Linked DNA regions of Drosophila melanogaster. The gene in region 1 interacts genetically with each later gene. Each region holds a gene or a part of one and is shown in the gene's direction. Other genes may lie near its edges.

The links.
Region 2: of Taf9 (region 1) and y, changing one enhances a phenotype caused by changing the other (phenotypic enhancement), as found in Drosophila melanogaster (2 studies listed by BioGRID).
Region 3: of Taf9 (region 1) and w, changing one enhances a phenotype caused by changing the other (phenotypic enhancement), as found in Drosophila melanogaster (2 studies listed by BioGRID).

Annotation. Positions count from the first base shown.
Region 1 is NC_004354.4:17,839,499-17,843,760, forward strand, and holds Taf9 (TBP-associated factor 9), read left to right. Parts: upstream 1-2,662; 5' UTR 2,663-2,760; coding exon 2,761-2,911; intron 2,912-2,975; coding exon 2,976-3,661; 3' UTR 3,662-3,850; downstream 3,851-4,262. Other genes in the region: CG6398 (uncharacterized protein), read left to right, coding at 662-791, 857-1,197, 1,264-1,429, 1,492-1,601; CG8142 (uncharacterized protein), read right to left, coding at 3,922-4,008, 4,071-4,262. UniProt on the Drosophila melanogaster protein: TFIID is a multimeric protein complex that plays a central role in mediating promoter responses to various activators and repressors.
Region 2 is NC_004354.4:354,137-358,398, forward strand, and holds the start of y (yellow), read left to right. Parts: upstream 1-2,372; 5' UTR 2,373-2,543; coding exon 2,544-2,781; intron 2,782-4,262. UniProt on the Drosophila melanogaster protein: Controls the pigmentation pattern of the adult cuticle and larval mouth parts.
Region 3 is NC_004354.4:2,794,429-2,798,690, reverse strand, and holds the start of w (white), read left to right. Parts: upstream 1-2,224; 5' UTR 2,225-2,382; coding exon 2,383-2,454; intron 2,455-4,262. UniProt on the Drosophila melanogaster protein: ATP-dependent transporter of the ATP-binding cassette (ABC) family which transports various molecules including bioamines, neurotransmitters, metabolic intermediates and second messengers.

The DNA of each region.
Region 1 (4,262 bases):
CATGAACCTTGGGTCGTAAACCCGCACTCGAGAATTGCTCAAGCCAGCAGCAAATGCCAAAAAAAAAAAAAAAACAATGGAAAACCGCGGAACGTGTTCAAATTGCCACGCAATCTGATACTAGGGCCATATAGCATACAACACTTGAGCGTATGCCATATAGCACCTATAGCATCATATAGTATATAGCATATAGCATATAGCATATACGAACCCACACCGTACGAACATCCGTATATCGTTAAGATGACCGGATGATGATGATCGACAGCGGTTCAATGCTGACTGTCTGTATTTCTCGCTGGGATTGCGACTGTTAATGGAGTCTGGGGCGAGGTAGTTGGACACATTATCAAGATACGCCCACGAGGGGGCGGAAACAGGTTTTATTAATGAGTATGTATTGAAAATGTGATGGTGAGGGGGTGGGGGGGGCTTAGTGTACAATTCGATTGAATAACAATTGGCGACGTGAGCTTGAATTGCGGCGCTAATTCCCTAAGAAGGTTAATCCGCGGGCTATAAATAAATGTGTGGCTATTAAGACAAGTATGGGTAGGGCCAGAGCTAAGAGCTAAGATAGGATAGTTTCAAACACTTGTAACCATAACTTTGAACTGCAATTGAGCTTAGCTAATATGGACTATCCTTTCGATTTCAGTCCTTTGCCGCCAAGCACTCGGATGCGGAGTCGTTGTTGCACAACATGAACGTGAAGTACTATTACTACACGAGGACACGAGGCTTGTTCCGGATCTGCTATCCCAAGGAGCGGCCGCCAGTTTCAGCGGGTGAGTAATGCTGCATTTTACATCACATGGGAGTTATTTAATCCATTTCCATTCCCGTCGCGCAGTGCCCACCTATTTGTCACCGATCGAGACACACTGCTCGAACATCGACTACTTCCCGCAGGCGGAGGACGAGAAGATCGCCAACGAGGACGCCACATCGCGTCTCCATTTGGCCCGCTCCTGCATCGCTCTGTTCATCATCAGCTTTGTGACCATCTTCTGTGCGTTCTGGACCGGATTATCCGGCTGCTGGAAGCGGTCGTCGGGCGCCATCACAGCCACCTCGATACTGCTGCTAGTCACCTGTCTCCTGGCCGCCGGCGCCATGGGACTCTGGCACACCGTCGAGTTCTTTGAGAAGGAGAAGGTCGTGGGCGAGGATTACTTCCAGCAGTGGAACACGGTATGTACACCAGCTGCATTGGGCATGTATGTGGATTAACTAATGATGAATATCTTGATTTATTAGGTCCTGCGCGACAACACGAAGATCGCCTACGACTGGTCGTACATCGTGGCCTGGGCAGGAATCGGAACCTGTCTCCTGGCGTCCATTCTGCTCTCCGGCGCGGCCGTTTGCCTGCGCAACGAGCGGGAGAAGGAGGAGCAGCTGAACCTGCAGTACCTGATGCCAGGTATGTCCATCGTGCTGACCCTCTAATATAACTAATGACTAATTTTCGGTTTCCATTTCCAGTTTACTCGCAGAAGCAGCCACCCTATCCCCCTTATGCCAACTACGCCCAGCCGCAGATCTACCCAGGACCTTACTATCATGGCTCGCAGTACGGACCCTACAACTACTAGAGGCACACCCGAAGGGGCCAGCCAGCTTCAGCCAGCAGCTGCAATTGAGTTATAGAGACATAGAGATCACAAATCATGACCAGGAGGGAACCTGGTAGCCCTCCCCAGTAATCAAAATAGAGCAAGCGCTAACGAAATCTTAAAACGCATACATTCTGACAATGAAAATATTACTTAAAGCATCAATTTTTTTTTTCGACAAGAATCTAGTTTGTAGTCTATATAGAGCTATATAGTATATATATATATGCTTGTATGTATAACTGATCGTGGGACTTGAGTCAAAGTTGCGTCCAAGTTTTTGGTGCGCGAATTGTTTGCGCGTTATTTTGCAAATATCTAAGAGAGACGAATGGATGGATGGTTTTATATGTTGACCACGGCGAGATGGCGATTTAAAGACGGAACAATAAAGAGTTAATTTATTGTAGCACGTAACGTACATGTAGCGTATCTAAAATAATAATAAAGAAATATGTGTATGTATCTAAGCTAAAAGTTTCATTGTACAATGTATATGAATGTAATAATGCGCGACAAGCTTCAATTGTCTTCCAAGTATAGTGCATATTGTATGTAGAGCTGTACGTTTAATGAATAAAAGTTTCTTACGTTAATTTAACAGTTTTTAGCTCCTTTTGGCGGGACTTCGTTTTTGTTTTTCCACAACTGGGGTATTCAAGTTTTGTTAATAAGCTTATCAAGTCGTGTGAGAGAAATTTTTGACTTTATTAAAACTAAACAGAATTGTAGTCTTCATTTCACTCTGCCATTTGTTCTCGTTTCGTTAATTCCGAAATATTTTGAAATTGTTGTTTCTGATAGTTAATATTCCACCTATTGGTCCACCTATTATGCCAATGTGGTGTTATGTGATCTGGTAGAAATATGCTTATTGTTTAATATTTTGGATAAGCTTCATTAGATTTGTTCCTACATTTAAAAATCGATTTCTAATTTAGCCGTTTTTTTTAAATGGCCAGAGCCAGAGTTGCCACCCTGCAGTCCAGCGGCGTTTTCCACACTAGACGTCTGCATCGATAGTATCGCATAAGCTCACCGATTTCCGATAGACCCGTATATATGTACGTGCACAATTTCAATGGAATAAACAATCTTCTTGCAGCAAAGCCGACGTAAACATAATAACTATAGAAGTATGAGCGCAGAGAAGTCCGATAAGGCCAAGATCAGTGCCCAAATCAAGCACGTGCCGAAGGACGCGCAGGTGATCATGTCCATCCTGAAGGAGCTGAATGTCCAGGAGTACGAGCCGCGCGTGGTCAACCAACTGCTGGAGTTCACCTTCCGTAAGCGGCGATTAATGCCTTGCTTTTCCCACATCATTTTCCTAAATGCTGTCTTGCATTGCAGGCTATGTAACCTGCATTCTGGACGACGCCAAGGTGTACGCCAACCATGCGCGCAAGAAGACCATCGACTTGGACGACGTGCGTCTGGCCACCGAGGTTACGCTGGACAAGAGCTTCACCGGGCCGTTGGAGCGCCACGTTCTAGCCAAGGTGGCCGACGTGCGCAACAGCATGCCCCTGCCACCCATTAAGCCGCACTGCGGTCTCCGACTGCCGCCCGACCGCTACTGTCTCACCGGCGTCAACTACAAACTGCGGGCCACTAATCAGCCCAAGAAAATGACCAAGTCGGCGGTGGAGGGCCGTCCACTGAAGACCGTCGTTAAGCCCGTCTCCAGCGCCAATGGTCCGAAGAGGCCACACTCCGTGGTGGCCAAGCAGCAGGTGGTGACCATTCCCAAGCCCGTCATCAAGTTTACCACCACTACGACAACGAAAACGGTGGGCAGCTCCGGCGGATCTGGGGGCGGCGGTGGTCAGGAGGTTAAGAGCGAGAGCACCGGCGCCGGCGGAGATCTCAAGATGGAGGTGGACAGCGATGCGGCGGCCGTGGGCAGCATCGCTGGCGCATCCGGTTCGGGAGCAGGAAGTGCCAGCGGAGGAGGAGGAGGAGGAGGATCATCTGGCGTTGGAGTGGCCGTCAAGCGGGAACGTGAGGAGGAGGAGTTTGAGTTTGTGACCAACTAGCGAAACGACATCATTTACCTTAAATTAATATTCTTAAACCAGACCAAAGCACTTGCATTTGGTTGAGCGAACTGGGGGTCTAAATTTCAACTCGAATGTGAAGTCCCAAAAACCTTAGTATAGATTCGCCCGTTAATCATTATGAAATCTACGTTTTATACACAAATACAACTACCAGATTTTCATATTAAATATAACATTTATTTTAGACTCCAGTCGCGGATAAAGTACATGTAATGAATGTGCTGAGTGGGATGAGATTACTTTAAAGCTAAGATGATGCAGCAGCCAAGGTCCATGATCTGCAGATACTCGGAGCCGCCGTCCTGCAGTCGAAAGCAGCATTCCTGTGGGATAAAGGCAGCAATAAACAAGAGGAATCATATCTATCTATGCAGTCAGTACGTACGCCCAGCTTATCGCAGATCGTGGCCTTTTGCGGATCATTCAGCCCCGGATGATGGACAATGAACTCGACGAACTGTTCCATCATTTGGCCAACGCTGTAGGCGGAGAAGCCAATCTCCCGCACGAACTGCTCCAGGCGCTCGTAGTTCCCAGAGCGACAGACCTCCAGGTAATCCTCCAGATAGTACTCCGG
Region 2 (4,262 bases), about 17 Mb from region 1:
ACTTATTTTTAATTTGGCTTAAGTTACTAAGGGGTACTAATAGTTTGAGCGCAGTGCATGTCATGGGGACATGTGCAATTGTGTGTAAGCGGGAAGTGATCGCGGCCTTCCGAATTTGGCCATGCCAAATAATCCCAGCTCGAAAGGAGGGGACCCGGCGGTCAGGGCCATGGACATTGAACTTGAAAAAAAAAAAAACACAAAAATATATAACACAAAACGGAAAATGCTGTGTACCGCTTATGTTAGAGAAGTTGAGCAACGGGTTTTTCGTTTTGCAGTCACGATGGATTTCCAAATTAGTGTAGGAGGGGGGAGGGGAGGGAGGGAGATAATGTCCAGGCTGCCATAAGTGGGGAATAAGGAAAATAAAACATGAAACACGGGTCGGGCAATGTCATGCGGTATTCGGCTTTGCTTTCCGCCCAAGTTGAAGTGATCCTGTGTGTAAATAATGTCGAATGTTGCCGGTCGGTTGCATAAGCGTTAGTCAATTATGCCAAAGAGATCTGATTTGTGGAAGCTTTTTTTGACCACTTAGCGCGCTCCGCTTGATGTTGTTTTGTTTTGTGCTGGGGCAGAAAACTTGTTTCAATTATTGGGAAAAGTGCGTATAAATCATTGCCGCAAGCTCTGAAAAGCGAAAAAGAAAAACAGTAACCAAACAGACAAACGCAGCATCCCCCCACACAATTAAGCAAAAACTTGAAAACAAGTCAATTCGAAAAAAATTATAGGTTCAACGGCTGCAGCGATCGCATCATTAGTTGCGTTTTTAGTAAATACACCATTTCATTACACAACACACACAATTAATTAATAAAACTGTACTGGTTATTTCAAGTGTGTCTTTTAATAAGCCTGCCGATCGCAATAAATTCGAGCAGCATTGCCGGTAATTTTGTGCAACATATTTTTCGATTGCCACACCGTGTTTGTTTATTTTTCTGTGGGTGCAATGATTTAGAATGCGGGCAAGGGATCAAGTTGAACCACTTCTAAGAAAAAATAGCATTGCATAAATGATATAGAGTCCAAAAACTACACAAATTCAATAGCAGTAATGGTTACATTAGCTTTGAAATTGTTTTTAGACATCCGAAGAAATAAGATTAAATTTAAACGGCATTCTTTAATTTGTATTTTAATATTTTGAGAGGTTTTCCTTATTTAAAGTGTAGATTATTGAGGATTAATGCAAACCACTTTATCTGCGGAGGTCGTAAAACGTATTTTTACCCATTTGCATGTTTATTATGCGTGTGGCTGGTTGTATTACTTTACTTAAGTTTTGCAATTTTTTCTTTAGCAAGCAGGTGCATTTGGGCCAAGAGATATATGCGATCGCTTTCGGTTCGAATTTTTAACATTTACTTGCGGCGATGGTCATTAGAGCATTACCCACTTAGGGCACCCCCAACATCCAGTTGATTTTCAGGGACCACAATATTTTAAATAACAGCTAGTGGAATTACCTAAAAGCGCTTTCGTCCCTTTTGAAATTTTATGTAACACTCAATTATATTTATGTATATGTATGCTCAAAATCACCTGCCAATAACTAGCGGAAACCAAATATTTGACCCTCAGTGAATTGTGAATCATCGGTGACGCCCAATCGAAATCCAATCCTAAGCAATTGAAACGAGCACGAGTTCCAATTTAATAGTATACAAGGAAACACCTGCTTTAAATACTCTACATAGTACACGTTATAATAACGATTTATTTGATATTTCTGGATTTTTGTCTGCATGTATTTCATATAATATTGATTTGATTTTTTTAATGAATTGAACTAAAAAATCATATTAGAACATTTTTTGCAGTCGCCGATAAAGATGAACACTGTTCTCAGAACACAACTGTCATGTATTAAGCTTTCAGATTTTCAGAAATTTGGAGAGCAATGCATTCTATGCACGAGCCTCCTGGCCTTACAATTTACTTGTTTGAAATTAGATCGTCAAATAAAGTCCCTAAAATTAAATAAATAGTAGTCACAACTTTAAAATAGGTCTTAATCTTTTAGGGTACCGAAAGGTATTTCGGCACAAATCAGCGCAGTTTTAAATGTCGATGAAGGCCAAAAATCATACCAAACCCAGCGAAAGGTGATGTCTGACTCATTAAATTGGGGGATTCGAGTGTATTTATTAAACATGCGTGAAAATCAATCATGGAAGACAAAACGCAAAGTTGGCCGATCTATGGGAACAGCATAAGCCACCTGATTACCCGAACACTGAACCACCCGAATCACTAAAACCACCGAAGTTGGCGCGCGCCTTCGTTTTCATTTTCATTGGCCTGTCTTCGTCTTCGGAGAAAAAAAACTTCATATAAAACGCGGCCGACATATTATGGCCACCAGTCGTTACCGCGCCACGGTCCACAGAAGAGGATTAAAAAAATATCACACAGCCGAAGGCTAGAGAAGAACCCCCTATAGCTGAACATATATAAACAAATATATTTTTTTTTATTGCCAACACACTTTGGCTTAAGTGTTAAGAGTGATTGTCAGCTTAGAGCTAAGTGCACTGTTCCAGGACAAAGGGTGGATCCTTGTGACCCTGATCACCTTGGTGACGCCGTCTTGGGCTGCTTACAAACTTCAGGAGCGATATAGTTGGAGCCAGCTGGACTTTGCTTTCCCGAATACCCGACTAAAGGACCAAGCTCTGGCTAGTGGAGATTATATTCCGCAAAATGCTCTACCTGTTGGAGTCGAACACTTTGGCAATCGGTTATTCGTCACTGTTCCCCGCTGGCGTGATGGTAAGTGGAAGTTAAATATGAAGCCCTTGGGGAGATCGTAAATGGGACATTCTTACTTAGGGCATCAGAGATATCTGATTGAGTGGTTGACAGTTTTATATGGCTTGTTTGACATGATGTAAAAACACAAAATTCATTTAGTTTAGGTATTCAAATAAGAGCTTGTTATTTATTTTAGAATTTGGAGAACATTTTTTTGTCTTTCTACCCTTCTTAGAAAATAATATTGTTTTGTACAATTTAATTTTAAACTAGTACAGACGAAAAATGTATTTTTTTATTTGTATGCCTTTTCACCATTTTGGCAGAGGAATAAATATGACAATATATTTTGAGAGCACCCTCATGTAAAGGTTTTAGCGTGGCGACCTCTCATAAATCCGGTTGGTACCTGCGCGTTATTTTAACATTTTAAACAATTAACCGTTGTAAAATCGAAGCCAATAGCATGGCATTGGCTTTATACTGTATTAAATTGTATTATATTACCATCCGAATTGTAAAGACTTCTTCAGGGCCGCCACATAGAAATGGAAATCCAATCACAAACAATAACTTATGGCATTAGCTATTAACCGACGATTAGCTGTCAGTTCAACAAATGTAAGAGTGGCGAAATGTTTAAATGCGAAGGCATTGTTCTGTGACTCACGTTTTATTATTAATCACACAAATGATTTTGCTTCAAAATTATTTGGCTTACACAATAATCAAAATTTTTATGAAATAGTTGAAACACAAAACTAGGAAATTTTAAAAAGCAATGAAACTAAAAAACCCAATTGCTAAGATTATATGATGCGCATACAAATACTTCAGTACGTCTAGGAATGCTTTCGATGATTGATTAGTTTTTATGCATGGCTTACAATTGGTATTTACACAGAAAAACACGGCGATGTTAATAAATTTTGTACATATGTTCTTAAGCAGTCCGAAACACCCAAACTTCTGACTAAACTTAAAAAAACACGCTCTTCAAGGATATCTTAATGTCACTTATAATGTAATGGTATTGTATTATTAAGTATATCAAAATATTCTGGCCCAGCCTTGAGGTCTCTTTTTAAAAAGATATCGACTGACTACCTCCAGTCAATGAAATAATAGCCCAGAAGGCCGAATCGGCAAAAAATAAACCCCAAGTTACGGCAAACAAAACATAGTGAAAGTTGTGGCAAAGTGGAACATTTAAAGGCATGCTTCAATGGCCATCGAAGCAAATCAATTAGTCAAAGCAAATCGGTAGTGGCAACAACAGGCTACAGAATACCTATAAGTGACAGTTATGGGGTATGATTAATTATAAATATTATCATTGACCACCAATGCTGGGCTCAATTGGAAAAACTATTCTATGAAGATTTGAGTAAATAAATTTTGATTTAAAAAAGCCCATGGTTATCGCGACAACTAGCTACGGGACAAGATTACTGTTTAAAATCAAGTGTGAAATATCAAAATCAAAATCGGATTCCGAT
Region 3 (4,262 bases), about 15 Mb from region 1:
CCCACCCCCCCACCACCACCACCGACCATTTACCACTTTTGCCACTTTTTCCATGGATCGTACTTTTCGGGGCATGGCAAATGGCAGCGCTGATTTACTTTGCAATTACAGCCAACTGAGTGCCTTAGATGAAAGTGGGCGCCGGCTGAGGTTGGTATGAGGGGAGGGGGGGCGTGGCCCTTAGAAAGGGGGACCAAAGCAATGAACTAGAAAGCTGTCTGATTAGCGTGCAGCTAGCAAAAGTTTCTCCACTCACACACACACAAACACATACACAGATTTATTGAGCCCGCTGTCCGCGTCAATAATTTGCATGGGTTAAACGTACAGAGGCAAGAAAATCTGGGGGTTAAGTCAACCCAGACCAACCCCCCCAACCCCCCACCAGACCGCACTTCCTGTGACAATGGCTGGGGACTTACCTTTGCCGATATATATATATATATATATATATATACATATGTATGTAGGTGTGACTGTGCGGAGAGAGTATAAAAGTGTGTGTTGAAAAAAACTTTCTACGCCTCAGTTCAAGTTACTTCCTTTTCGCTTTTCAATACGGTGTTATTGCATTGCATTGTGGAATAGCAAACCAATTTAAAGAATCCCAAAGGTAGGGCAAAAAAAAATGTTCAATTGCAGGGCTAATAAGCAAAAATCAAGTTAAGGCCACTCTAAAAAAAATGAACTGCATACTTATACGTATGCAATTAACTTTATTATTGATTTAGAGCGCATAAAAACGGCAAACTAATTAATTACAGCATTCCCTTAGAGCATTTCATAATCGGTTTTAAGCACTTTTTGTTGTAATGCCATTTTTCAGCTCTTTCGCTGCTGCGACAGGCGAGTGACAATAAATTGTTAAGTGCAAAAAGTTTACAGCATTTGAGTGAGTTAGTAATGGCAAACACACACGAACACGAACTTCAAGACGGTCTAAACCCGATTCGAGCTCCACTCAACCAACATCGAAGAAGCCCCATAAGTGTCACTGAGCGAAAAACTCGGTTAGTTGGCAAAAATGAGTGAAACATTGACGTTTCTTTGTTGTCTGTCGCTAGATCGGCCCACAAAGGAAGTCTCTTACGAATCGTACATACATCTAACTTTGAGTCAGCTAAAGATCTTCAGTGAAATAGGAAAATCATTTATTTCGAACTTTGAAGCTGTTGTAGAGCAGAACATATATGCATTAAAACTGGCACATGAAATAATGTTACTAGTGCTGAGTGAGACTTCTACAAATATCACATGCATATGCATAATTAACTTGCAAATCGAATCAAAAGCTATTATTCTGAGCTAAACTCTCAAAAGAAAACCATATTCATTTGAAGACCACTTAATCGTCGTCAGCAAATTAATTCCTGCAGATTCCTCGGCAACTGCAACTGCTAACCTGTTACCACATCGTCCGTGAAAATGGTATTGATAGCCTCCCGGAAAACCCGTCCCAGTCGAGATCCATATCCTGGACCAACTGGCCCCGATGATGAAGATTGATAATGCCCGGACAGCTGATGGCGGCAGTTCATGATTCCGGGGCCTGAGATGAGGTGCTAACGATGACGACAACGACCGGAGTGTCCGAAGTACGGGTGCGGATAGGCGTACGGGAAACGGGGAGTGCGGAATGCGCATCATCAACAGTCGCCGTTTGATAAATCATGCATGCAAAGTACAGTGCAAACCCCCGAAACGGGACGACAACAGGCGGATTAACAAGAACTCTCTTATTCACGATAAGAAGACGCTTCCCACTCAACCTAATCAGTATTCAAAGACAGCCACTCAGCTTATGAGTACTGCCCAGGTGGGGTACTATCATATTGGTGCAAAGGTGGTCGAATTTTTAATTATTTTGAACGGAACACATTAGCTAAACATAAACATGTTGTCACTAGTATGTATGTAAGTTAATAAAACCCATTTTTGCGGAAAGTAGATAAAAAAAACATTTTTTTTTTTTACTGCACTGGATATCATTGAACTTATCTGATCAGTTTTAAATTTACTTCGATCCAAGGGTATTTGATGTACCAGGTTCTTTCGATTACCTCTCACTCAAAATGACATTCCACTCAAAGTCAGCGCTGTTTGCCTCCTTCTCTGTCCACAGAAATATCGCCGTCTCTTTCGCCGCTGCGTCCGCTATCTCTTTCGCCACCGTTTGTAGCGTTACGTAGCGTCAATGTCCGCCTTCAGTTGCATTTTGTCAGCGGTTTCGTGACGAAGCTCCAAGCGGTTTACGCCATCAATTAAACACAAAGTGCTGTGCCAAAACTCCTCTCGCTTCTTATTTTTGTTTGTTTTTTGAGTGATTGGGGTGGTGATTGGTTTTGGGTGGGTAAGCAGGGGAAAGTGTGAAAAATCCCGGCAATGGGCCAAGAGGATCAGGAGCTATTAATTCGCGGAGGCAGCAAACACCCATCTGCCGAGCATCTGAACAATGTGAGTAGTACATGTGCATACATCTTAAGTTCACTTGATCTATAGGAACTGCGATTGCAACATCAAATTGTCTGCGGCGTGAGAACTGCGACCCACAAAAATCCCAAACCGCAATTGCACAAACAAATAGTGACACGAAACAGATTATTCTGGTAGCTGTTCTCGCTATATAAGACAATTTTTGAGATCATATCATGATCAAGACATCTAAAGGCATTCATTTTCGACTATATTCTTTTTTACAAAAAATATAACAACCAGATATTTTAAGCTTACCATGAAGTCCTCATTTCTTCCACCTTTCATTCTCAAATATTTTCTTGCTACACTACACTACACTACACTACATTATACATCGACCCCAAATAGTTGGATGTAGTAGATCGTAATTAGGGACGCATAACCAGTGGTGGCGTGGGAGGAGTCGGCTTAAGTTGGCCAACAACATTGCTGGGTGTCTATAACTCTAGGCTTGCCAAGATACTAGATACTGTATCCGTATCCATTTCTGGTTGTGTACTCGCATCTTCTACCTGATCTTAATACCTCGTTGTTTGCACGTCTCGCTCGACGAAAAATGTACAATCTAGTCTTATCTGGGTCATTATTTGGCTAGACGAATGCTTTGGGCTCAGCATCTGATATCTAGGTATCTTCGTGCGTATCTTGCTTTAAATTCTTAGCACCTCGGCTTGTATAACAAAATAAATAAGTGAGTACGATTTGCATATCTAGCCCCGGGCTCTTTGAAACAATTTTGAAAAGTCTCAAAAAGTTATACAAGGAGATAAGAACTTTAATTCTTTTGGGAAGTAAGTAACGCAGTAAAGGTAACAAAGTATTGAAAAATATGATATGTATGGAATATTTGAAGCCATCTTTAATTATATGTTCGTTGCATATATGTACATATTGGGCCGTTTACGCTCTGATATTTCCTTAATAATATCGAGTGGTCGTCAGCTTTTCCGCTGAATAATTGCGCCTCCTTCAGTATTTCGTTCTCATCAAAGTGAATGACTTTTGAGTGCACTCATTAGCCACTCGCACAATCGACAAAACGGGAGGAACAACAAATTGAGTCGCTTCTTTATTCAGTCATTTCAATTTGTCAAGTTCATCACGATACTCCTTCGCCTCCCTGCACAGCGCCATCTAGCGCCCACTCCTCGAGTTTCCTTCGTATTTCGTAAGTAATTCAAAAATAGCACGCAAAGTAAATAAAAAAAAAAGTAAGCCAAAAAATTAAATAAATATGAAATGTAGCATCTTTCGCTACTTATTTCAACAAAATACGAAAATAGGGAAAAGGTGGGAGAGTAAACCAGAGGAGGCAGGGAGATAAGAAAACCCAGTGGGAAAGGGACGGCGAAAACAGAAAAGAAAAGAAAACTTTTTAATAACATTTTTCGGCCTCATTTGTTGTGAAAACAATTTCGCCATGTCCCTCTATCTCTTTCCCAGCCATATGGCCATCTCGCTCTGCTCGAGGAGTGCCTGAAAACGGATATTACATTTTTTCGCGTCTACCTCTCGTAACGTCACCAATTGTGCTTTTTTTTTGGTAACAGGCCAAAAACTGGACACTGAGTGGCTAGAAGAATAAGCTGTCAAAGCATCGCAGCAGAAGATGAGCAGTGAAGCCTCGCTAAGGAGGAAATGCAACAGTTTTCAGGCTTTGGTCTTTTAGCTAGATTTTATATGTAGCAATGTAAACGATAAATCCAAATCCCCCAATCGTTTTGAAAAATAAATTTAATTTTAAATAGTTCAAAAAATGAAAGTTCTTAGCAGGGCTCACTGTAGCA